Arabidopsis thaliana: one gene and its partners. The protein of the gene in region 2 interacts with the protein of the main gene of each other region in a pairwise test. Each region holds a gene or a part of one and is shown on either strand. Other genes may lie near its edges. The genes, in order: AT2G41610, AT2G43420, AT5G11870 and NRT2.3.

Region 1 (4,598 bases), 690 kb from region 2:
CCTATCAGGAGAATCCAGACTCTCCATATCACACCAATATAAATTTCTCTTAGTGCTCTTCTTACTAGATCCTTCACCATACTCTCGGTGAAGTACTTTGAGTGCATTTTTGCTTATAAAGTTGTTTCTGGTATAAATCATAATAATAAAATAAAAACTAATTTCGCACAAAAATTCACTTGCGTACTTGATTAACAAAACCTTCTATATATTATTAGTGTTTGAGCAAATTGTTAGGGCTAGAAATATTTTTTTATGTAGACTAATCATTGATTGACAAAAAAAAAATTAAAAATTTAGACTAATCATTTATAGTTTACCTAAACCTACTTTACGCCGGCTTATGGTTGAATTCTACGTGGATTTAAGCATAAGTTTACAATAGCCATAGTAATTCGGTAAGTACATGCTTTTGGGTCCTTATCATCTCTATTGGTGTGGTCATATCTGAATAAGCAGAGCTACTACGGATCACGAATCTCTTCTTCTCGTATGTTTTATGTTTAAGTGAGGTTCGATCTAGAATCTCATCAATTAATATCAATAAAAGTACACCCATGATCAATGAGAACTCATGTAACAATAATCTCTGTTCGTAGGTTCTTGGGGATAAATTAGTCATCGGAATAGCATACCAGAGATCGACGATCTCATTAATCATTATGTATAAGTACAAACTTCGTAAAACTATCCAATGCTACAAATAACAATACAAGATAGTACAGTGGTACCACCTAATTATTGATATAATTCTATGACTTCTGAACTTGAATATGTATGTATGTATGGTTAGTCATATATTTATAAATCTAGGAATTTTATTTTCTTAAGGTTAATCTTCTTTAACAAAGTTTAAATCTAAAATTTAACATTGCATCGCAGTATATATACTAGCTGTAATATAATCTTGTTCAACATTAACATAACCAATATATTGAATTAAAAAGCCAAGACTTATTTATGCCTAGTAGAAGTAAAAAGTCATTTTTTTGTTCGGGTAAAGTGATGAACCAACTCAGAAGGCTTTCAAAAGCAATTTCCTAATGGAATATCTAGCAAATTAGCAAGTGTTACACCACTTTTCTATTTCTTCTTGTTTAAAACTGTAACCACTATCTTGCGTCATCTTGACACTACTACTTCTCACTGTTTTGATTTAACTATTTACAATAAGGATAAATATAAATAGATATAGAAGTAATGTTTAAGTTTTACCATTTCATCATCACATCCAATATAAACTCATCATTAAGCAATCATTTACATTTACTTCATCTTGCCTCTGATTTTTCCTTTTTGTTTCAAATTTCATGTGTCTGATGTCTTCTTACTCTGTCTCCGACTAACCAAACAACATACTTTTGTGATTACATAAACACATATCAACAGAAGAAGAAAACCAAACACAAAAACCCTAAACAAGATAGGCTCTTCAACAGGAGACATAACGGCCAAGTACACACAATCTCTTATAAGAACAAGCAATGTCAGTCCTTGCACAACATTTTTAACCACCAAAACTCTTTTATTTATTCCTTCTTCTTTGCATAACTTGCATATAATCCTCAAAAACAAAACACCAACCACCAAGAACGTTGTACTAGACCATCCTCGGTAAGAGACAATCTTCCCTCCCACTATTAATGGCTCTTTCCTGCATATACAAGACTTGCAGACTCCAGAGAAAGTAGATGTGACCAGAGCATCGAATCCTGTATAATAGGGGAGAATCACAGCGTCTAAGTAAAGACTAGCGTGGAGAATACCAGAGATAGTAGAGGCTTCGAAGAAGACAAAACTCGCTTCTTTTTCGATATTGTTCTCAAATAAAAGCACTGAGAGCTGAACAAGCTGTAGTATCGCAGGTCCAAAGATGGAAATTGGGAAAAGGGTATTGATCCTTTGACCTTTTGCAAGAATCAAGATGATCAAAGGAAGAGAGATTGGACCAGAAGGAAGTAAGTACCTTCTTGCTTTGTCATCATCACCATCATCATCATTTTCTCTTCTTCTTCTTGATATTACCTTCCTTACGACAACAATTAGCGTCGTCAAATAAGTAACCGTAACGAAGAAGAAAACTAGAACGTCGGTGATTTGAGGGTAGTCGCCGGCATAGATGCTGTCGCAGAAATAGTGGAAAGGACAGTTAATAGGATCAAGTGTGTCCTCGAATTGCCACTTTGTGCATTTGAAAAATGTTTTCTTTCTATCAGAATCCATTTCCCATTCTGAATTCATAATTTGTTTGTTTTTTTTGTTTTGATCTATATGTTTTTGGTTTCCTTAGAAGCTACACATATAGTTTATAAGGAGTGTGTGTGACGTGACATCATCATATGGTTGATTCTCTTTCATTGTCTGGTTATAGATGCTTGAACTAAAATGGATAATGAAACTCTATCTGAAATCTGAATTCTATCTTCATTTTTTGTTTATTAATACAAAAAATCACCCTTTGAATGAAACTATGTATTGAGAGAAGCCTTGATCTTCAAGGGAAATAAAAGTTTGGTGTGCAGCTGATGATTGATTGGTTCTGTGTAATTGTTAAATTGCATGATTACGTAACTGAGAATTCGGTTTAACCGTTTAAATTCCGGTCTACTGAAATTGCTACGGAAATAAACCGAATTAAACCGAACCGGATCATGATTCAGTCTACTTTAGTTTTTGTGCTCCGTAGATTGAGAGAAGCCAATTTTAGGGAAAAGAGAGAGATGAGGAAGTTGAATCCGCTTCTGAAACGAGGCTTGAAGGCTATTGAAAATGGTGATTTGTTGAAGATCCTCCAAAGTGAAATTCGTCACGAAATCTCCCATCCTCGTTTCCAGGTAAATTGTTGTCTTCCTCTTTCCTTCTTCTTCTTCGTTGCTCTCAGTAATCTCTCAATTGAGTTTTAAGATCAATGGTGCTCAACATTAGTTCGATCAGACTCTGTCAGTTTCAATTTCATTTTTCTGAATTGATGAACATTAGAGTGATTTACCAGATGGGCGAATTTGAATTTGATGTTGGATCTCATAAACCCTAGGATTTTAAGTACTTACATTCTACCTTTATGATTTTGCTTTGTGCTTGAACCCCACAGGGCGTTGAGACCGGTTCTCTAGGAGATTTCAAATTGGATTGGGATTCACCGGAAAGCCAAGATATTGTTCTGAAGAGACAGTTTGATTCAGGCGAGAAGGTTGTGGTCTCTGCTTTATTGCAACCAGAACCTATAGAACTAGAAGATGATTTAGTGTTTCCTAGGGAAGCTCATGCCAAAGTTTGTATCAAAAAGCCTGGTCTCAGCTCTATCTTGCAGTTTCATTGCCGGGTTTACGAATCAGGATCTGGATCTTCTCATTTCGACATCGAGAGCGCCTACTTTATCCGCTCTTTTGTTTCTGCTCCTTCTTCCACTTATGGAGACCATTTTTTCAGGTGAAGTAAGCTCATAAATGATAATCTCTCAACATTTTGTTTAAGTTACTTGAATCATATCTGTTTTACTTCATCCAAACCTCAAAGCATTGGGTACACTTCCCATTGTTCTTTCCCTGGAGTAATTGTTCTATATATATTGAAAAAGAAGTAGACTATTAGAGGTTCATGTGTCTGCATATGTTTGATTTCAATGACCAGTGTTATTTTCTTTGTTTCTTTAGCCAAGTAGATCCCAAACTACACAGTGCACTGGAGCAATACCTAATATCTAAGGGGGTCAGTGAAGGCTTAACTAATTTCCTTTTGTGTCACCTGAACAAGAAGGAGCAGGATCAATACGTTAACTGGTTACGCAGGCTTGAATCAACTATGTCACATTCTCCAAAGCCGTGAGTGTTTACTCCATAAGCTCATTTCTTTTCAAGTTTTGTTTTTGGAACAATGGTAAAATGCCTTAGGAGTAGTATTATTAGCTAAGAGAGTCCTTGCAATGGATGTTTTGAGGGAAGATGTATCGACGAATACATGTTAACTGTAATATTTCCAACAAATGGGACCCCAAATCGTATGCTTTTGAATTTTCAAGCAAGCTTGGTTTGATCTTTGATCTTTCAAGATGATTAGTCATGAGATAGTGAGTAGTAATCGACATCTACATAACCACCCTCATTCATGTATTTATCTTTGTAAATCAATACTTGACCTATAATGTCTTTTGATCTTTCTCCGAAAGGACTAAAAAGTGAGAAAATGCAATAAAAAAAAATTTACGAACAAAAAAAAGGCAAATGAGAGAGAACAAAAATTCGGAGCACGCAGCGTCAAGCAAGCATCACTTAACACTAAAAAGAACTTATGTTAGTAAAATTATTCTGGAAAAGATAAATCAGTTATTGTGTGAATACTATAGTGTTAACGTGACATAACATCATAGGAAAACGATAAAAAAAGCATAGATCTTGAGGTATCTTTTTTTTTTTTTTTCTCTCTGAACTGATATCTTTTCATTGATAACATTTTAAGTTCTTACAAAAAGTTGATCAGTGGACTTTCCACTTAAACATAAAAGGCAACAAGCCTATTCCAAACTGAAACATAAACTAAGACAATGCTGAATTTAAAGATAAGTAGGAGTATGTCCTAACCAAAAACCATACTCATCTATT
Region 2 (7,755 bases):
TTTGCTCGCTTCCAAATTTTCACCATTGCGAATTTCGAGTGGAGTACGCAATACATTCATACTCAAGCTTGTGAGATTTAACATCTGAAGCGAACCTGAAATCAGACTGCTAAACGCGGATACAAGTTTGCAGATAAACGACAATCGGATTAAACCTTCTTCGCATAAACGAGAGTAAACATGTGTTTGATGTATTCTTTTGCAGAGCTCATTCGCTAAGAGTTATATATGCTTTAACATCAAATTTTGCAGAGCTTCTCTGTGGTTTGGCTTTGCGCGAGTTCGATATAACCAAAGTAATTTGAGAAAAGACGTTTCGATCGGATCAGGTTTCGCCTTAAGCTAACGACGTATAATAGAAAAAAACTAGGTTTCGACTTTGATTTGTACGATGAGGAAAAAAAAAACAGATTCAACAAGAAATTTTTGGACTAAACAAGCATCATCAAAGTTTTGTGAACCTGGACTATGAATTCGCAAAAAGAGTATAATCGTTGACAAAAGACAATCAAAGTTAGAGAACAAACGAAGATATAGATAAGAACAAACCGGTCGTGCGTATTCGATCTTAATTTGACTTCCATTCAAATTTGCTCCTTGAAGAGCCTCTTTGGCTGCGACTGCTTCCTCCACATGTCTGTAGTATATAAACGCAAAGCCTCGTGAAGAATACACCGTGATTCTATCAATATCGCCGTATCTTCCAAACAACTCGGTCAGATCTGACTCTGTCGTCTCCGGCGTTAGGCTACCGACCCAAAGATTGTTTGACTGGAAACCGGAATCATCGGCTCTGAATGGCTTCATAGATAACGCCATCGGGATTGTTTCAATTGACGATCCTATGGATCCAAAATTCCAATCCCAGAATTGATTGTTTTACCTTTGGGATTATGAGATTTCGATTATCCACGTGACGGAAAACGAGAGACGAATTGTGCGATGATACGTTGAGCAAGAAAAATTCGATGAGAGATTTGGGTGTTCAAAATCCTACCTACAGAGAGGAGAAGAGAACCCTAGATTGAGTTTGAAGACGAAGAAGATTAGATTGTGAGAGAAAGAGAGGCCAGGGAATATCGAAGCGGCGGCTTTTAAAGGATATATAAGGATACTTTCCTTTTTTTTCTTTTTTTTTTGGAAACCGGATCAAAACGGTGCATTTTGATAGTAGTTATGGCAAATTCGTAAATAATCATATATCCATCCCCTCTCAGTGAAGATTACATCCTGATAGCATAATGTTTGTACATAAGACATCTAATAACTGCAATTAGTCTCTGGGATTGTTGGTGTTCGTTTAGTGGAGGACTTTGGAAGCTTCACATGAACATTGGTTTAGATGAAGCATCAGAAACAGGTATCACCATCCTTTTAATAAATGTTAAGCATTCGACGAATATCCGGGCTAGGTGGTAGAGCTCAAGCTCGTATTGCTCGTAGATGAAGAAACCGGTGAATGAGAACGACATAACTGTCCAAGCAAAGCGTAGAGAAAATGTTATGGATAAAGAAGTTGTTAATCATGTTTATGAAGTTGTTAATCATGTTTATGAAGTGTGAAAACAAAAGCTTTGTTCGAGTACCTGTGAAAAGAAATGCTGCCAATGAACGGGATACAATCAGTTTGAGGAGATACAGTGATCCTGCAATCTGTTTTTATGTTTTGTTTTAGGAAACGAGAGCAATGAGATATTTTTCATGTTTGGTGAGCATAAAGAGTAGAATTGTACCTTGAAGAACTTGATCCAGTCTCCTCCACTGCTTAAGGATTTAAAACTGCGAACTCCTTGATTCCAGACAACTACGATATCACTACTAAGATCTCTCACAGCGGATTCGGAGATCTCAAATCTCCATGGGGGTATTTTGTTGACTTGAAACCCGAAACTGTCAAAATAAATCAATCTGTCACTTAGTTGCATATAGATTTCAAAGGTGAAATATATATACATGGGTGCATCATCCTTTGATAGGACAATTTTGGTATCACAACTTATTTTCACTGCCTTCTATAATGGTAAAGTTCTGGAACCAATACTTACATCTTTGACGGCACAAAAGAGACTCCATAGAGAGCAACAGCAAATATAAACAGAAGTTGGGCTGCAGATGAAGTAAATGTGTTTCCAGAAAAGAAGAACCAGTAATAAAACAAGTTTAGGACAAGAAAAGAAACGAAGGTTTTCTTCTCATTTCTCCACAGCAAGATGTCTGCAACTGCATGAGAACATAGAGATGAAAAGCTAAGTCAGTTTAAAGAGATTAATATTAAAAGCTTGCATTGACCAGATTCGCTTTGAGTTTGTTTATATGTGCATGAAATAAAGTTGGAACTCGCATGAAATTACATGGACTGGAAGAAGATGTAAATTAACCAAGCAGATACTTCAGCATGTTCTAGACATCTAGAAGCAAACAAATCTAAGTTGAAAATAGAGATAGATTCTTTCCAGGTTAAGCCTTGTGAACATGCATCATCATATCCATAGCTAGATGAGATGCGGACTTCAAGCAATACAACTGAATACTTAGCCAAGAACACTTCAAAAAGGCATTATAATTGTTAATAGCGAGATGGTTCTAACCTTTCCCACAACCAAGAAGCTGATCTGCAGTAGATTGAATGATTGTGTCATCAGACTTCTCAAGATCCCGAGAGAACCATTGAAGCGTTGATGCAATACCATCCTACAAATCCAACAAGAGCTAATAAATCCAAGGAAGGTACTAAGCAGCTGAATATGCAAAAAGCCAAAATACTATCCAACAAACTCACTTCAAGTGTCACAACAGGTGTGTAACCAAGATGCTTCTTAGCTGCATTGCAGTTAAAAGTTCTCGTTGATGAAGCTAACAGAGCATACTGATGTGCTGTGTCATAATTACTCCCAAGGCCCTCCTTTTCATGTGTCCACTTAAGAAGTGAGAAAACATACAAAACCAGCCGAACAGGAAGTTTAATGGATGGTCTGCAATTAAAGAGGAAAAAAAAATATCAAAACAGGTAAACCAGAAAGTTAGCTCTAAGGATCTAAAACTTTTCAAAATGATCAATATTTAAGACATAGGAGAAGGAAACATATACGACCATGTATAAAATACTAAATATCAGCGAATCACCATGTATAGATAGTTTATATCTAAAAAAACTAATTGAATATGGCTGTTCTCGAAACGGTTCTTCTAGACATGTCTCCAGGACATCTATCAACAGAAAATTAAGATCTTTTGCTTTAAGAAGGGAACATTCAAGGTAGGTTCAGAAGTTCTGAGGAGCCTTTTTCCCATGCTACATTGATAATCAGGAAACAGAAAGATAAAAGGAGTTCACAGCAAGTTTCATTGTATCAAAAACTGTTCGGATGCTTATTTACCTTGGGTATCCCAGACCTTCAACTATATGGCTTACAAAGTCCCAAAATCTGACCGGCTTGAGGTTTGTGATAAAAAATTCCTACATAAAGTCGGCACAGTAAAAATTCATCACATATAAAGTTCATGCGCTTTCAGGAGTGATTTGGCAAATACACTTTGACTCAAAGAGGTTACCTTTCCAGCCACAAACTCCATCTGTGAATCTAATGCTTTAACGGCGCAAATATGTGCATGAGAAACGTTCTCCGAGTAAGTGAAATCAGAGATATTTTCACCACTCCCGAGTATAAACTGAAATTTTAAAAACTAAGACAGTCATTCCTCCAAAAAAGGAAAACTAAGAATGCATCAAGCTCAAGGAATACTACCAGGTATAATAAGATAATAAACGTAGACGCAAAAACGCAACAATGGGATGAACTAATAGTAAGACCTTTGCATATCCGGACTTGGCTAGATTCACCAAAAAAGGTACAAACTCTGTGTCACCAGGTCCAAATACAATGCTAGAGCGAAGTGCACAAGTTAAGAGACCATCTCGGTTGTTAGCCAATTTGATCAACGCTTCTGCTTGAGCTTTGAAGTCTGTCAACATAGATTGGAACTGCAAGAGAATCAGAGCAAAACAGATATCATCTCTGAAAAAGACCAACGACAAAAACCAACTAAACAAACATGCTCAAGGATTACCTTCAAAGGACGTCTCAAGGATTCATCACCATCACGTATAGGTTGGGAACCATCAAAAACAACATCAGCTGTACTGTTGTAGATAAGTTTTCTGACTCCAGATTCACGACAGGCAGAAATCACATTTCTTGTACCTATACGAGAAATCGATTAACCACCCAAGTTTAACTAATATAATGGTAAACCATCTTGAAGTGACTAAGAACTTTACCTTGAACTATAACCTTGTAGCAGTCAAAGTAATCATGGGAACGTAAATCAGTAGCTCCCATGTAAAATACAACATAGGAACCCTCGGTAACTGCAAGGAACAAAACAGTCACACCAAAACTCAAATCAGAACCCGAAAATCTCAAATAGCCAAACACTCCCCCATAGCATTTTCTAGATACCAAAAACCGATCCATCAATGTCATATCTAACAAAGTGCAACAGGAAATAAGAGGAAAACCTTTAACGATCTGAGGTTTATCACGAACATCGACGCAGTGATAAGAAGCGCGGCCGGAGGAGAGAGCATCCTCGAGGAGCGAATCGGATTCATCAAGATGGAGAGTGTGACCGGAATCTGCGACTCGGACTGTCCAGTTTCCGAGACGAAGCAATCTGGAGACAAGCGATCGACCAATGAACCCTCGTCCGCCGAGGACGACACATGTCTTGAGGTGAGAATCGCCATGGACGGAATCTTCGTCCATTGTTATCGCCGAATTAAACCCCAGCTCTATCGCCTTTTCTCGGTCGAGTCAACTCAGAGAAAAAGGCCGAGTCGAGTTGGATCAGTGCACAAAAAGCTGAATACTAGGGGTTGCTTGGCGGGCAGACTCTCCACTCGCGCAACCTTTTAGCGTTTTCCTTTATTCTTCGGCTGTGTAATTATAATTTAATATTCACACTTTTTTGCCATAAATCTATGGATTTGACTTAATTTATGTAAATTATCTGTATAATTATTCCTTGGTTACAAACAAATCTAGTAAAGCTAATATTAAATCGTAGACGCACGGTTGCGTTTTCACGTTTGGTGAGCCAATTCCATCAATCCACCAAACATATGATTTCCATTGTTAGAAATTTGGTAAGCACTTGTAGAGAGAAACTAAACCGTATCTATCTATACACTTGTGTATGTATGTTGAAGCATTCATTACACTTGAAAATCTCATAATTTAATAATTGAGTTTAAACTAAATATTTAGATTTTTTTGTGTTGAATACACAACTTCAAATGATAACTGAAGAAAGCCCAAAACATATAAAATATTGATCTTTGCAGCTGATGATTGACTTGCAAATTTTTCTATACAAATAAGAAAATATACCCAAGTTTTCAGAAACGATCTCTGGCTCTCTGTATACGACGCAATGCTTCAGCTTCGGTTGCTGAGTCTGGAATGCTTAAAGATTTTCGGATATCTTTGCTCGATATTCTGAGGAATGGGTTACACGCTTTCTCAACCTTGACAGTCGTTGGAATCTACAGACAACAAATCCGTAAGTAAATGAAATCTAGAGAGAGGTTTAGAGAGAAAGAGGAGATAGGGAAGAGATAAGAGGTTTTACCGATGGGAGCCCCTGGCTGCGAAGATGGGCGACTCGAGTTGCATAGGACTGAAGAGTTTCATTCTTTGGTTCTACGGATAGAGCAAACTTGAGATTGCCCTGTATCATGGAGGAGATATAAAAGAGAGTTGAACAATGTGAATTAAGAGTATTTATGTGCGTGGAACTTACTGCTGTGTTTTCACGGCCGCAGTATATATTTGTATCGTCTGGTAGAGACACGATCTTTTGGAGTGATGAAAGCATCTGAGTCATAAGGCAAAAAAGGTTTTCTCGTTAAAAAGGACAGAGCACAATAAGTTTGCTTCTGTGAAAGAAACTACAATGTACGGTTATTAGAGTACTCCCAAGTCCCAAGTGATCTCTCCATAAAGTCTATACCATTTGACTCAGCACAGTTTGCCACAAGAAAGTAACCATAACAGTAAAAAGATATGAAGGTTGAAAAAGAAACATGATTTAGAAAACCACAAATCACTTGGCACAATTTTTGCCACAAGAAAATAATCATAACAGTGCAAGGGTCGAGAAGGTTGAAATATTGCTTTTTGAAATTGATGTTACCTGCTCAGGGGTACCTTCTGAAAGGGTACCACAGGATAAGCTATATATCAGGTCTCCTGTGAATATTGTCGCTGACCCGGGAAAGTAGAAGCTAATATGGCCTGCTTGAGAATAAGTACAGTTAAGTGATAAAACATGGCACCAAGTATACATTAATTACTAGTTGTACTACACTAGAACGATAAAAAAGGAGAGCAGTTACACAGTAATGTATTGAGGATAACAAATTAGAATGACAAATAAGATACTAATATGTGATCCACCAAAGGTTTCTAACGTTGGCAATATTTGACTGTATAGATGTGTTCTTAGTATTTTACAGTAGAGGTTATGGCAGCTACAAACCTTGTGTATGGCCAGGAGTGTCAAGTATCCGAACCTCATGGCCAGCAAACATCCACTTATCACTATCCTTCAGAAGTATGTCAATTCCAGGAATCCGATCTTTATCTACAGCTGATCCAATCACCTGTCGGCAACATAAGTCACATAAAAACACTTGAGTATATATAAAAGAAGCAAAAACGAAAAGAACAACTCGACAAAGGTGCAAAACAAAAAGGTCCAAAAAACCATTTTTTCTGGTAAGACTAATACTTTACGACATCTCAAAACCAAACCATTGTATTGTAGAGCTCAATGTTTCACAGCTATCAGAGGCAAGAGACACTCCAAGGAAACAAAATAAAAAGAGGGCTAACTTGCGCAAAGAGCAGAAACAACACAAGAAACAAGGTCATACAGTTTTAAACAGAAAATAGTATCCTCTTACCTTTGCGCCATACCTTTCTTTCAATTCAGCATTCCCCCCAATGTGATCATCATGATGATGAGTATTCAAAATGTAAGTTAAATTCCAATTCTTCCTGCTCAATGCTTCTATAACAGGTGCAGCCTCAGAAGGATCAACGACTCCAACTGTTCCGGTGTCTTCATCGTGCAACAGATAAGCATAGTTGTCCTTACTGCAGGGCACCTGAAACATCTCAGTAAAATAGATCGTTAATAATATCTTCAGCAGATTGTTACAGAGTTGTTTCAACCAGTAGATTCAAGATGAAAAGCATACTAACCAGTTCGATTTTTAATGAGGATGGCATGTTGGAAATGCTACAAAAGTGAGTAATCTTAAGAGTTTTTCTAGCTCCACGCAATGTTTTCAGTGGCATGGATAATAACCACATTACTCCGTATAATAAGCTTTTCCTGAGGCAAAGTTGTCTCAAACCAGGCCACACACAAAGCTGACCTCCAATCTGTTTCATGAAATTCAATCAACAAATCATAATCTGACACAAAATAGTACTATAAGATAGCCAAACAAAGACTACTAAACACAGTTGACAAAAAAAAAAAACCCATAGAAGCTTATAATAGATAATTCAACCGCCAGTTTCACCAAACCAGTCAATAGCAGATAGTAATTGAGCCTTATGATCGAATCAGTAACACTAGCACACATTCAAAGGAATCCACAGAAACAATTTTCCAGCACACAAACGAAGATCGGTATAGTGAAAATCTGAATAAACTCAAAAAAGGCTAAATCTGGTACCAACC
Region 3 (5,687 bases), on a different chromosome or scaffold from region 2:
CAGCTTAGAGCTCTTCATCGCTAGATAAATGGCAGAAACCGAATCCAAGTTACAATTTGGATCTACGGTACTTGTATCTAGAGCAAGCAATCGATCATAAGGGTTCTGTGCATCCAAATCCCGAGAAGAAGGAGAGTCATCATCTTCCATTAAAACCCTATTAACATCAACTTGTAACTGAATTAGACAACAGAACTCAGAGCCTAATGCAACTACTCCACAATTTCAATATCTGACCATTATTCACATTCATACCCAAACACTACTATAAATCTACAAGTACAAGGTTCAATGATAAAGTTTTCAAATTTACCTTGTAGAAACTCTCTTCACTCCTGTAGCTACCGACAAAGCAGAGACACCGGAGATAGATCAGTTCCCGAGAGCCGTCAAATTACAAACAACTAGCTCATACACTATCTGAGAACGAAAACAGATCTTGGATTAGAAAAGGAGCAAAGCCCTAGATACAATTCACAAAGAAGGAACCAAAACAAAAAAGTACCCAGATTTAAAATATTTGAAAGATAAAAACTTTGGAGCCAAAAGAAGCAAAATTCGAAAACTTTTCATCGCGGAAAGTGACAGAAATCAATATTTTAAGAAAGAGAACCGAACCGGAACTGAAACCCACGAAATCGATTTCAGATAATTTTCAATTTTGATATATATATCTAGGGCTTTTAATACGAAAAAAGGGGGGAAAAAAGACATGTGGAAAAATCAAAGCTTTTTACTGGGATAAACGATGGATAAATCTAATCTTTCCGCTTTCTCCGCAAATTTCTCTGCAAATTTCAAAATTTCTTCAACGAAGCGCACACCTAGATTAAACTTCAGTAGCCCAGAAATTCGAGCTGAGATTGAAGAGCTAAGAAGAAGAAACGGAGAGGGAGAGAGAGAAAAAAGAAAACCCTAGAGAGAGTATATTCGTCGGAAAAAAGTACCTCCGATCAAAAACGATTTCTTCTAGCTTCCGTCTTCTTCTCTCTCTCTCTTCGAAATAAAAGAGTAAAATATTTGCTCGAAATGAATGACAGACGACTATAGTCTACATAAGCAATGAAATATTTCATTTAAATGCCCTCATACTTTATTAATATTTCATTAGTAACCTCGATAGTTTTTGATTTGTTAAACTAAACCCCAAACATTCGAAGAGTATTAGGCCGGTAAATGATGACGTCATCTCCGGTTGGAGGATAGTACAACGATGCCGTAGAGAACTAGAGAAGTGTCTTTTTCTTAAAAAGGAACCTTCTGTTTTTTACAAATTGAACATGCATGTTATGGATTATTGGAATAAAAAAAACGTTTTGAAGACTTTTGAATATTTTCTTTGAAAAATGAAATTATACAAGATTATGTGACTTGATTAGATTTGATGTTACAAGTTAAGTTGGTTTAGAATAATCTTTGTTTAGTACTACTATATATAGGATGATCTATTTTTCATTGGTTATAGCTAGAATGCTATATAGAATTGTGGAATGTTGTTTCATGTCATGATTATGCAGATTTATTACCAAACACATAAAAGATTAAGAGGTATGACATGAATGACGTGTTCTGCTGATTATGTTTACGACGAAATCCAAATAAAAGACAATTTGATCCAACACAAACTGAAAAACACTCAACCTGCCAATATTATTCAAAGAAATGAACAACATCAAACTTGTATTCAAGCATGGCACAATGGATGATTCAGAGAGGACATGATGGCTTAAAACAACATTGATATATTTACGTTCCCAATTTGAGCTTTAGAATATATGTTTGTAATTTGAGAATACATATGATTGTTTCATCTTCTTCCCCATCTTTCTCTTATACTCTTTCGTTTTCTTGAATACTTTGTAGCATAAAGAGCATTTAGACTCTTAGTTCATTCTCTTTTGAACTTTGTCTCATGTTAATCCCATTTTTGTTTTTGTTTCATACATGGCTATCTATGTGGGTTACTTCTAAGAACTACAACAACACATCAAGGATATATAATTTAGCAATTTTCTTAGTTAACTTTTCCTTCTCCTAGAAACACTAACCAGGAAACAGTTAACTAAAACCACTCCCGCCAAGTTTTGAAACGTTGTACATATATATAGGAGTGAAAATATTACTTTCAGAAACATGGGGTGGGATATATATAAGATATAAAAATGTAAGGGGTTACTTTACAAATAAAATAGAATAGAAACAAAACGTAGACGTTTAGAGCGGTCCTCGTCAACTACGACAACATTAGAGATCGATCGTCGTCGTCGTACCCGTCAGACTCAAGGAAAAAGAAAAAAAGAGATTCCGCCGCACGTTGTTCTAATCGAAAAAAGCGACTCTCAATAAATCTGTCTTCCCTTTTCTTTCTTAAACTGGAAGAAGATTAATCAATCAGACACAACAGAGATAACTGATTTATCCACTTCAAACAATACAAACCTTTAAAGTCTTCACCTTTATAGAGAGAACTTTTAATGGTGTGGTTGACGAATCAACAGATAGGGAGATGGAAAAGGAAACGAATTTTGGTTGTGGGATCGTTCCTCTGTTGGTCAATCATCATGTTCATCACTCCCAAAGTTCCTCTCGATTCATTTCGCCATCATATCTTCGCCGATAAACGCAATTTCATGGGTATCATCATCATATCACACTCTCTCTTCTTTTTTTTTTATCTCTCTCTGTCTCTGTGCATGTGTAATAACGAGAGACAGGTGTTTTGTGTGGGTTTGATGATGAACAGGAGTGCCTAATACATTGAATGTGATGACCAACTTTCCCTTTCTTATCGTTGGAGTTCTTGGTTTTGTTCTTTGCATTGGAGGAAGCTTCTTCAACATAAGGTATCATTCTCTTTCCCTTTTTTGAGTTTTATTTTGAGTTAGTTTAACAATTTGAGTTGTTGTAATGCAGTTTAAATGGTGAGATCTGGGGATGGACACTGTTCTACGCAGGCATTGCAAGCTTGGCTTTTGGTTCTGCTTTTTATCATCTCAAACCTGATGACAACAGAATCGTCTGGGACACTTTGCCTGTTCGTTTTTCTCACTTTACTTTTCTTCGGAACATGAATCTTCTTTCAGTTATGCATTCATTGCTTCTTGATTAGTGATGCGGTAATTGTATATATTGACAAGCACATTGTGAATACAAAAAGTTGAAGAATCATCTTATAGCTATGTAAAAAAGCTTAGATTAGACTTCATGGTTTTTCTTGGATTGGTTGGTTCTACAAGCACATAGTGAAGTGAACACAACTCTTATAGCTAATGGAAAGAAGCTTTAGAGATTTTTCGGGTGTAGAGTTGTGGTTTTTGGTTTTATTGAATGGAAAGTTGTTTTTGCTCATCATTTTTGATGGTTGGTTTATGAATAGCTGTTTGTTGATTAATGACGGTAAATTGCAGATATTGATTGCGTATTCGTCGCTTTTCTCTAGTTTTTTGGTTGAGAGAGCGGGGGAGAAAGTGGGACTTAGTTGCCTCATCTTGCTTCTATTTATATCATGTCTCAGTGTTGCTTACGCCAGGTAACATTAAAACCAAGAAAGCATTACCTCCTCTGTATACATATATGTTCATGGTTTTAGTCAGGTTTCGGATTGAAATTATATGTGTCTTAGTTGATGGCAGAGTGTTTAATGATCTCCGGTTATGCATGACGTTCCAGTTGATACCGTGTCTGGTGATTCCCGTCATGGCGGTTTTGTTACCTCCCAAATATACACACTCTAGATTCTGGCTCTGGGCAACAGGTTTTTAACTCAAAACCACATTTGCGGTTTTCTTATTAGAATCCACGGTCTTCTGATATCTGCTTATCATGAATGCAGCGGCGTACACTATTGCCAAGATTGAAGGACTTGCAGACAACAAAATATACAATGCAAATCGATATATCATCAGTGGGCATTCACTGGAGCATTTGTGTTCTGCCGTGGCTACGCTTTTACTTACCATTATGCTTTTGTATAGAAGCATTCGGTTTAATAGGTAACGTTTTTTCACTGACTCTTTCTCTTTGATCTTTGAGTTCCTTGAAACCTGAGAGGATTTTTCACTTTTCTTTTGTATGATGGAAACTAAAACAGATTAGGTGATCTCAAAGGCCGTCCTTGACATTCATTACTGACTCCTCAAGTTTTTTTTCTCTTGTATTTAGATGCTTCTGGATTCTTGTATTACAAATTTTGTTTGGTTGCTAGATAGATTTTGACCCATGATCCCACTAAAACATCGTTAGCTTGGTGTAATCTTGGTTTCTGGTTCTGAAACAGCTTTGGCTTTAAGGTTACTTATTCAAGTCTTATATATGTGTTTGGACAATGGACAATTTTACATGTAGTAACTAAAAAGAAACCAAAAGAATAATCATAACTCACAAATACACCTTTTATTTTCGGTCTTGACTTGTGACCTGTTTCTTATTCATATGATCACTTTATTGAGGACTTTAAATCATAGCACAGAATGTGGAAAAATCCAAGACAGCAATAGCATTATAGAAACGTAATCATACAATTCATCTAAAATAGCAACAATGATGAGTAAATCTCGGAGTTCATAGTCCTTCAAAGAAACGTAAATGGTCATCGAATGTCTCAGCATGCCTGATCTTAGTGATCGACCCATCTTCTTCAACCTGCAAAAAGAAGAATATAAATCAATCACTTTCTCTCAGGATCTTGACCCTCCGCTAAATTTCCGCAGAAAACGATAATAAGAAACAGTATTGTTACCCAGTATTCCGGGGGACGCATCTTGAGATTGTAAGTGGAAGCCATACTCATACAGTATGCACCAGCGTCATGAACCACCAGACCAGCTCCCTGTAACGTATACAAGAAACTAATTAGATTCCATATTACTTGAGCTGCCAAACATAATCAGATCCTTATAATACCTGTGGAGGAGTGGGAAGCTCTCTGTCTTTGCCCAAGAAATCAGCAGATTCACAAACAGGACCCACTACATCGAATTTGGTAACCTCTGCTTCAGGCGGTGTAGGAGAGACCAACTCAATATGCTTTTGCGTTAAAAAACAAAAACAAGAGGATGTTTAGCTATAGTTCAAAGGGACTAGAATCTGCAGATGCTGTTGTGAAAAGTATATTTGTTTTACCTGATAGGCATCATAAAGACTGGGACGGATAAGCTCAGCCATACTTCCATCAATCACTATGAAGTTTTTAGTTCCATTCGTCTTCACACCAGTTACATGGTTGACGAAACAACATGTGTTTGCAATCAGTGATCTCCCTGGCTCGATTATTAGATTCAGGTCTCGTGAAAGAACCAGCTCTCTTACCTATGAAACACATCCAGGATTCTAAAGATTCTACCATTCCAGTACTTTTGAGATCAAGATAAAGAAAAGAGTTTTGAGCTGTTGTTCTTACGGTGTTGATAAGATCCATGGGTGTAGGAAGGACAGCGCCGGCATGATAATAATCTATCCCTAAACCACCACCAATGTTCAAGTAGCTAACCTCAAAGCCTTGACGCCGGATTTCATCAATGTATTCAATCATGAGAACCGCAGCATCTCTGAATATATCCACCTGAAATAAACAGAACATACGTGAATATGCAAAGCTCAAGACTCAAGAGTTAAAATTTAAGAGATTGATTACATTAAAACACAAATTAAAAGGAACTATAGTCGGAGTTACCTTTGTAATGGTAGAA
Region 4 (5,921 bases), on a different chromosome or scaffold from region 2:
CCGTATCTACGAAATCCAAACCAAATTGAAAAATCCAATCTAAAAACTTATCTGAATCTTTTTATCTGTCGAATTCGTTGTAATTTTCCCTATATCAAACAAATTACAACCTGAACCGGGCGAACAAAAAAGGAAAAGACAAAAACTGAAATATTTTTTTTGTATAGCTTTTTGCTAGTGCTAACGTTAAGAAATTCTCAACATTGTTTGTTTTGTCTGTTAAAGTTTTTTTTATATACAAGGAGTTCCACTAAATAGTATTATGAATAATAGATAATTAAGTTTTAATTATGGTAATTTGATGAAGAACTAGACTCTATTTGCATTGTAGTTTTACGTATACATGAAAAGTAGAAGTCTACCAAGTTGAGCAATAAACATTCTATAAACTTGAGAAGTCAATGAGCCAATAACTCCTGTAATGAAAAATAGTTAGAGACAATTTTTTTTGTTTGACCTTTCCACAATTTTCGATTCTTAACCTATAAACATTGGACTTTTTTAGTTGCCTTCCCCTACATGTAAAAACAATATATATATACATTTTTGCAGCCATTTTGTGAAATAAATTCTAGAGTTGGAACTTATTTACAATGGCTGCCACTGGATTTTAATGTTTGTTTTTGATAATTAGAAAAAAAATCTTCAAATTAAATATTTGACATTTAACAATCTTCCCTAAATCTCTCCACATTAACTACACGGTTAGTTACTAAAATTAAACTTCCAAAATATTTAATATCATTTAATTACTACACAATTATCATTTTTGATATTGTTTTTCTCCATGACTATAACAATTCGATTATAATCATCAAACCGTAGAGATATTTGATAGCATTTAATTACTACAAAATTATAAAATATTTAGACAATAATTCATAAAAATATCATAAATAAGATCAATATTAATAAAATAAATGGTTTTTTTACGGGACGGGTTGGCGGGACGGGTTTGGCAGGACGTTACTTAATAACAATTGTAAACTATAAAATAAAAATATTTTATAGATAAATACAATTTGCAAAGTTTTATGTATAGTAACTTTAAAAAATAAATTGTTTCCGCGGTGTACCGCGGGTTAAAATCTAGTATATATATATAGAACTAAAACCATTACAAAAAGAAAAGATTTCGCCTTTTTAATGATGGATAATTCTAAAGCCTATAAGACTTAAACTTTTATTTAAAATCTACAGTTTGTTGCCCAAATAAAATGTGATAAGTATAGAGATAACAAAATATAAAATTATTTCTTACCAAAAAAAAATATATATATATATATATAAGACTATTTTACCGTAATTTATTGATGATTGCAGACAATACAAGATATCTCTAGTTTACAAAAATATCATCAACAATATTCGAGAGAATAGTTCTTTTGAGTATTTGCGGATGGCCGGAAACAACAACACTTAGAAATCATATTTAGTAAAGAATTATGTTTAGAGTTTAGACTTTATAGCTTATATATTATATTGAGATGATAGATGATTATAAGGAAAAACATAAGGAAGTCAACTTATCATAACGCTTCATTGTAAGGATATGCGAATATCAAAGGCGGAAAGATTTAGAATAAGTGAATAACCCATAATTTCATAAACGTTAGAGCATTTTTTTAGGAAATTATTTTAAGATAGCAATTATTTCATTTGGTGAGTCGACCACATGGAATCCTCAAGAGACAAATGAAAAATAATTAGACTTTTTGACGATTTTTGCCTTCATTGATACGTACGGCCTCTTAGGCTTTTTAGCTATTTCCAATGCCAACTGTCAACATTCGTATCTCTTTCGCCATTTTAGTGAAATTCCACAAAGTCATTATCTTTGATGTATATAACTTGCCAGGCTGCTACTATACCAAATAGATTTATAAATATTATTTTTAGATTTCTTTTCCATACTTTTTAATTCTCAAACGAAACTTTATGCAAAGTTGAAATAAAGTTTTCTTCTGCATTTCACTTAAAATTATAATTTGTCAAACAGAAGTGCAAACATTGATTTTCTGACTGAAAATTTTTCAACCTTACAAAAGTTGCTTGAACTTTGTTTAGAAAAAAGAAAATACTAATACTTGATAAACCCTCACGGTTCCTATTTTAAAACCAAAACCTTCAAATCAAAGACTCAAGAATCAATTCATAAATGTGTGAGACAAAACTCATAACCCAAATATGGTACACGTACGTATGAAACGTACTTAAATGCTACAAAAGAATAATATGTTTAGTTCTCAAATTTAAATAATTTTTTCCTTCTATCATTACTAATCAAAATTACAACTCATATCTATACTAAATGCTATTATCAGCTAACAATAATAAAATTTTCACAAATTGGTAAAGTCCTTATTAACTTTTACTTATCTTATTCAAATCTCATTATTGGACCCACCTAACCCTACCCACCATATGATATTGGTATCCCCTCTGGCCTCTATATAAACTTTGCATTTCTCTAATCTCCAACTTACACCAACAAAACACAACAAAGACCATTAGCCTTCTCTCCCACTCAGAGTCTTTCATCTCACTCTCGCCTTAAATGACTCACAACCATTCTAATGAAGAAGGCTCCATTGGAACCTCCTTGCATGGAGTTACAGCAAGAGAACAAGTCTTCTCTTTCTCCGTCGATGCTTCGTCTCAAACAGTCCAATCAGACGATCCAACAGCTAAATTCGCCCTTCCGGTTGATTCCGAACATCGAGCCAAAGTGTTCAACCCACTCTCTTTTGCTAAACCTCACATGAGAGCCTTCCACTTAGGATGGCTCTCATTCTTCACATGCTTCATCTCCACCTTCGCGGCAGCACCATTAGTCCCCATCATCCGCGACAACCTCGACCTCACTAAAACCGACATTGGAAACGCCGGAGTCGCATCCGTCTCTGGTGCCATTTTCTCAAGGTTAGCCATGGGAGCGGTTTGTGATCTCCTCGGTGCACGATATGGGACTGCCTTCTCCCTCATGCTAACCGCCCCAACCGTCTTCTCAATGTCGTTTGTGGGTGGCCCTAGCGGATACTTAGGCGTCCGGTTCATGATCGGATTCTGTCTCGCCACGTTTGTATCATGCCAGTATTGGACCAGCGTTATGTTCAACGGTAAGATCATAGGACTAGTGAACGGCTGTGCAGGCGGGTGGGGTGATATGGGCGGTGGAGTGACTCAACTCCTAATGCCGATGGTCTTCCACGTCATCAAACTTGCCGGAGCCACTCCGTTCATGGCCTGGCGGATAGCTTTCTTCGTTCCCGGATTTCTTCAAGTTGTTATGGGCATTCTCGTCCTCAGTCTCGGCCAAGATCTCCCTGACGGTAACCTAAGTACCCTTCAGAAGAGTGGTCAAGTCTCTAAAGACAAATTCTCCAAGGTACTTTTCTATATATATATATTTCTGTCTCATCTTCAAATATATAACAAATCCAGACCAAGAAGAATATGGCTCTCATTAAAAGAATCTTGCAAACATTAAACATACTCATGAAGTTTTGCAATAAATTCGTGAAGAACTATTTCGTTTATTTAGTTAAATAAATTTCTAGTGTCTAAAGGTTTTTCTTGTTATAGGTTTTCTGGTTTGCTGTGAAGAACTACAGAACATGGATTTTATTCGTTCTTTATGGATCTTCCATGGGAATTGAATTAACTATCAACAACGTTATCTCCGGATATTTTTACGACAGGTTCGATTTCTTATTCGTTAAAACCCAACTGATGAACTTACTTACTTCTGTCACAAGGTAATAACCTTAATTTGTTTTCTTGTTCTCTACGTATTTATCAGGTTTAACCTTAAGCTTCAAACAGCTGGTATAGTAGCAGCCAGCTTTGGAATGGCTAACTTCATCGCCCGTCCCTTCGGTGGTTACGCTTCTGATGTAGCGGCTCGGGTTTTTGGCATGAGAGGCCGGTTATGGACCTTATGGATCTTTCAAACCGTAGGAGCTCTTTTCTGTATCTGGCTAGGTCGAGCTAGTTCACTTCCCATAGCAATCCTAGCAATGATGCTCTTCTCAATCGGTACACAAGCAGCTTGCGGAGCCCTCTTCGGAGTTGCACCTTTTGTCTCGCGCCGCTCTCTAGGGCTCATATCGGGACTAACCGGCGCAGGAGGAAACTTCGGGTCCGGTTTGACTCAACTGCTTTTCTTCTCATCAGCGAGGTTTAGTACAGCTGAGGGACTCTCATTGATGGGCGTTATGGCGGTTTTGTGCACACTCCCAGTTGCGTTTATACATTTTCCGCAATGGGGAAGCATGTTTTTAAGACCGTCGACCGATGGAGAAAGATCACAGGAGGAATATTATTACGGTTCTGAGTGGACGGAGAATGAGAAACAACAAGGATTGCACGAAGGAAGCATCAAATTTGCAGAGAATAGTAGGTCAGAGAGAGGCCGGAAAGTAGCTTTGGCTAACATTCCAACGCCGGAGAACGGAACTCCAAGTCATGTTTGAAGACAAAACTTACAAGAGATTTTCCTTTTACATTAAATCCCTTTTTAATAGTTTCATACTCCACTCATATATGTACCGAGTAAGACCTTTTCTGTGATAGGTAAGGATCGATGAGCTTGGTACTTTAGTATAAATTATTGTAATGTCATCAGAATGTTCAACTACTCTTTTTTCTGCACCAATAAGCTTTATGTTCAATCAGATTTACATGTCAAGTGAAAAAAACAAAAAAAGTCTCTGTTTACGGTGTGTGAAATGCTAAGAGAGTCCACATGAAGAAAACTTTATGGACAAGGACCACGGAAGAAGCAATTGAATGAGTGATCTTTACATCACAGAAACGGATCTCATCGAAAGAATGTAAGAAGAGTATGAGAAAATAATAAACTACATAGATTTTCGAAATATTGATTCAGAAGATTAATATGTTATTTTTTTCCACTCACACTACTCATTTTACAAGAGATACTCCAGAGATTTTATGTGCAACTCTGTAATTTGATTCAAGATTCCTTCACTGGAATCAACATAAAGATGGAATATCTGAGTCACCTTTCCAACGAATATTCGAATATAATTATGAGAATATTCGAATATAATTATGAGAATATTCCCACTTTAATATTAAATATAATACCATAATCGTCAACATCTCAGTCTTTAAAAAAACAGAAAAAAAAAATCCTACAATACCACCAAAAAATATTACTTTTCTCTCTGTTTCGCCTTCAAAAAAACGTTCAACAACAATAACGAAAAAAAAAGAAGGTGCACATGATAATGATAATACTAATATAGAAAGAATCTCTGACCTCTTAAGGAAATGCAGAGATTAGTGAGTATGGTTTCTCTGTCTCTCAAGTGTGTGGCTTTAGAACTCGTTAAAAACCATTCCCAAACCCATCAAAAAAACCAAAGCCTTCCCTCTCTCTCTCTTAGCATGTGACCCCAATCTGAGTCTTTTCCATTTTCCATCAAGAGAAGAAGACTCGACTCTCTATCTTCAATCTTCAAGTCCGGCTTTAGCCTTAAGGTGCCTCTTGAAGTCCATAATGTCACCATTCCATTTAGTGATGCATTGTTTCTCGCAAACCCATATCTCATGAGCCACTTGGTTGATCAACCTGAAGTCGTGACTAACCAGAACCAAACCACCATCCCACTCATTCAATGCCTCAGCAAGCGAGTCGATTGTCTCGATATCCAAATGGTTAGTAGGCTCATCAAGAAGAAGCATGTTAGGCTGCTTATAAGCTAACCACGCAAAGATCACTCTGCTCCTTTGTCCGTCAGATAGATTCTTCATTGGCATCACTTGAGCCTTACCAGTTAGACCAAACCTACCAATCGCAGCTCTCATTTTCTCCTCTTCAGTACCCGGGAACTCCCTCATCATGTAGAGAAGTGCAGGCAATTCCAAGTCTAGCTTCTCAGCCAGATGCTGAT

The links.
Region 1: the proteins of AT2G43420 (region 2) and AT2G41610 interact in a protein complementation assay, tested with the Arabidopsis thaliana proteins (one large-scale study listed by BioGRID).
Region 3: the proteins of AT2G43420 (region 2) and AT5G11870 interact in a protein complementation assay, tested with the Arabidopsis thaliana proteins (one large-scale study listed by BioGRID).
Region 4: the proteins of AT2G43420 (region 2) and NRT2.3 interact in a protein complementation assay, tested with the Arabidopsis thaliana proteins (one large-scale study listed by BioGRID).

The regions. Positions count from the first base shown.
Region 1 is NC_003071.7:17,344,824-17,349,421, reverse strand, and holds AT2G41610 (uncharacterized protein), read right to left. Parts: upstream 2,266-4,598; 5' UTR 2,242-2,265; coding exon 1,309-2,241; 3' UTR 1,183-1,308; downstream 1-1,182. Other genes in the region: AT2G41600 (Mitochondrial glycoprotein family protein), read left to right, coding at 2,652-2,834, 3,092-3,429, 3,654-3,825.
Region 2 is NC_003071.7:18,030,171-18,037,925, forward strand, and holds AT2G43420 (3-beta hydroxysteroid dehydrogenase/isomerase family protein), read right to left. Parts: upstream 5,013-7,755; 5' UTR 4,767-5,012; coding exon 4,520-4,766; intron 4,370-4,519; coding exon 4,280-4,369; intron 4,203-4,279; coding exon 4,069-4,202; intron 3,983-4,068; coding exon 3,812-3,982; intron 3,670-3,811; coding exon 3,553-3,669; intron 3,458-3,552; coding exon 3,378-3,457; intron 2,973-3,377; coding exon 2,780-2,972; intron 2,692-2,779; coding exon 2,589-2,691; intron 2,221-2,588; coding exon 2,046-2,220; intron 1,891-2,045; coding exon 1,734-1,890; intron 1,654-1,733; coding exon 1,587-1,653; intron 1,475-1,586; coding exon 1,323-1,474; 3' UTR 1,098-1,322; downstream 1-1,097. Other genes in the region: FPA (RNA binding protein), read right to left, coding at 550-819; GLX2-1 (glyoxalase 2-1), read right to left, coding at 5,399-5,545, 5,632-5,730, 5,803-5,877, 6,196-6,296, 6,541-6,664, 6,968-7,171, 7,269-7,451.
Region 3 is NC_003076.8:3,823,246-3,828,932, forward strand, and holds AT5G11870 (Alkaline phytoceramidase (aPHC)), read left to right. Parts: upstream 1-2,174; 5' UTR 2,175-2,474; coding exon 2,475-2,634; intron 2,635-2,743; coding exon 2,744-2,843; intron 2,844-2,913; coding exon 2,914-3,034; intron 3,035-3,407; coding exon 3,408-3,529; intron 3,530-3,632; coding exon 3,633-3,754; intron 3,755-3,832; coding exon 3,833-3,992; coding exon of another isoform or gene 3,993-3,996; exon of another isoform or gene 3,997-4,090; coding exon 4,091-4,118; 3' UTR 4,119-4,328; downstream 4,329-5,687. Other genes in the region: SSP5 (SCP1-like small phosphatase 5), read right to left, coding at 1-150; AT5G11880 (Pyridoxal-dependent decarboxylase family protein), read right to left, coding at 4,561-4,641, 4,739-4,828, 4,903-5,025, 5,122-5,307, 5,399-5,560, 5,672-5,687.
Region 4 is NC_003076.8:24,448,282-24,454,202, forward strand, and holds NRT2.3 (nitrate transporter 2.3), read left to right. Parts: upstream 1-2,463; 5' UTR 2,464-2,557; coding exon 2,558-3,388; intron 3,389-3,585; coding exon 3,586-3,701; intron 3,702-3,802; coding exon 3,803-4,475; 3' UTR 4,476-4,683; downstream 4,684-5,921. Other genes in the region: ABCF1 (ABC transporter family protein), read right to left, coding at 5,479-5,921. UniProt on the Arabidopsis thaliana protein: Involved in high-affinity nitrate transport. Acts as a dual component transporter with NTR3.1.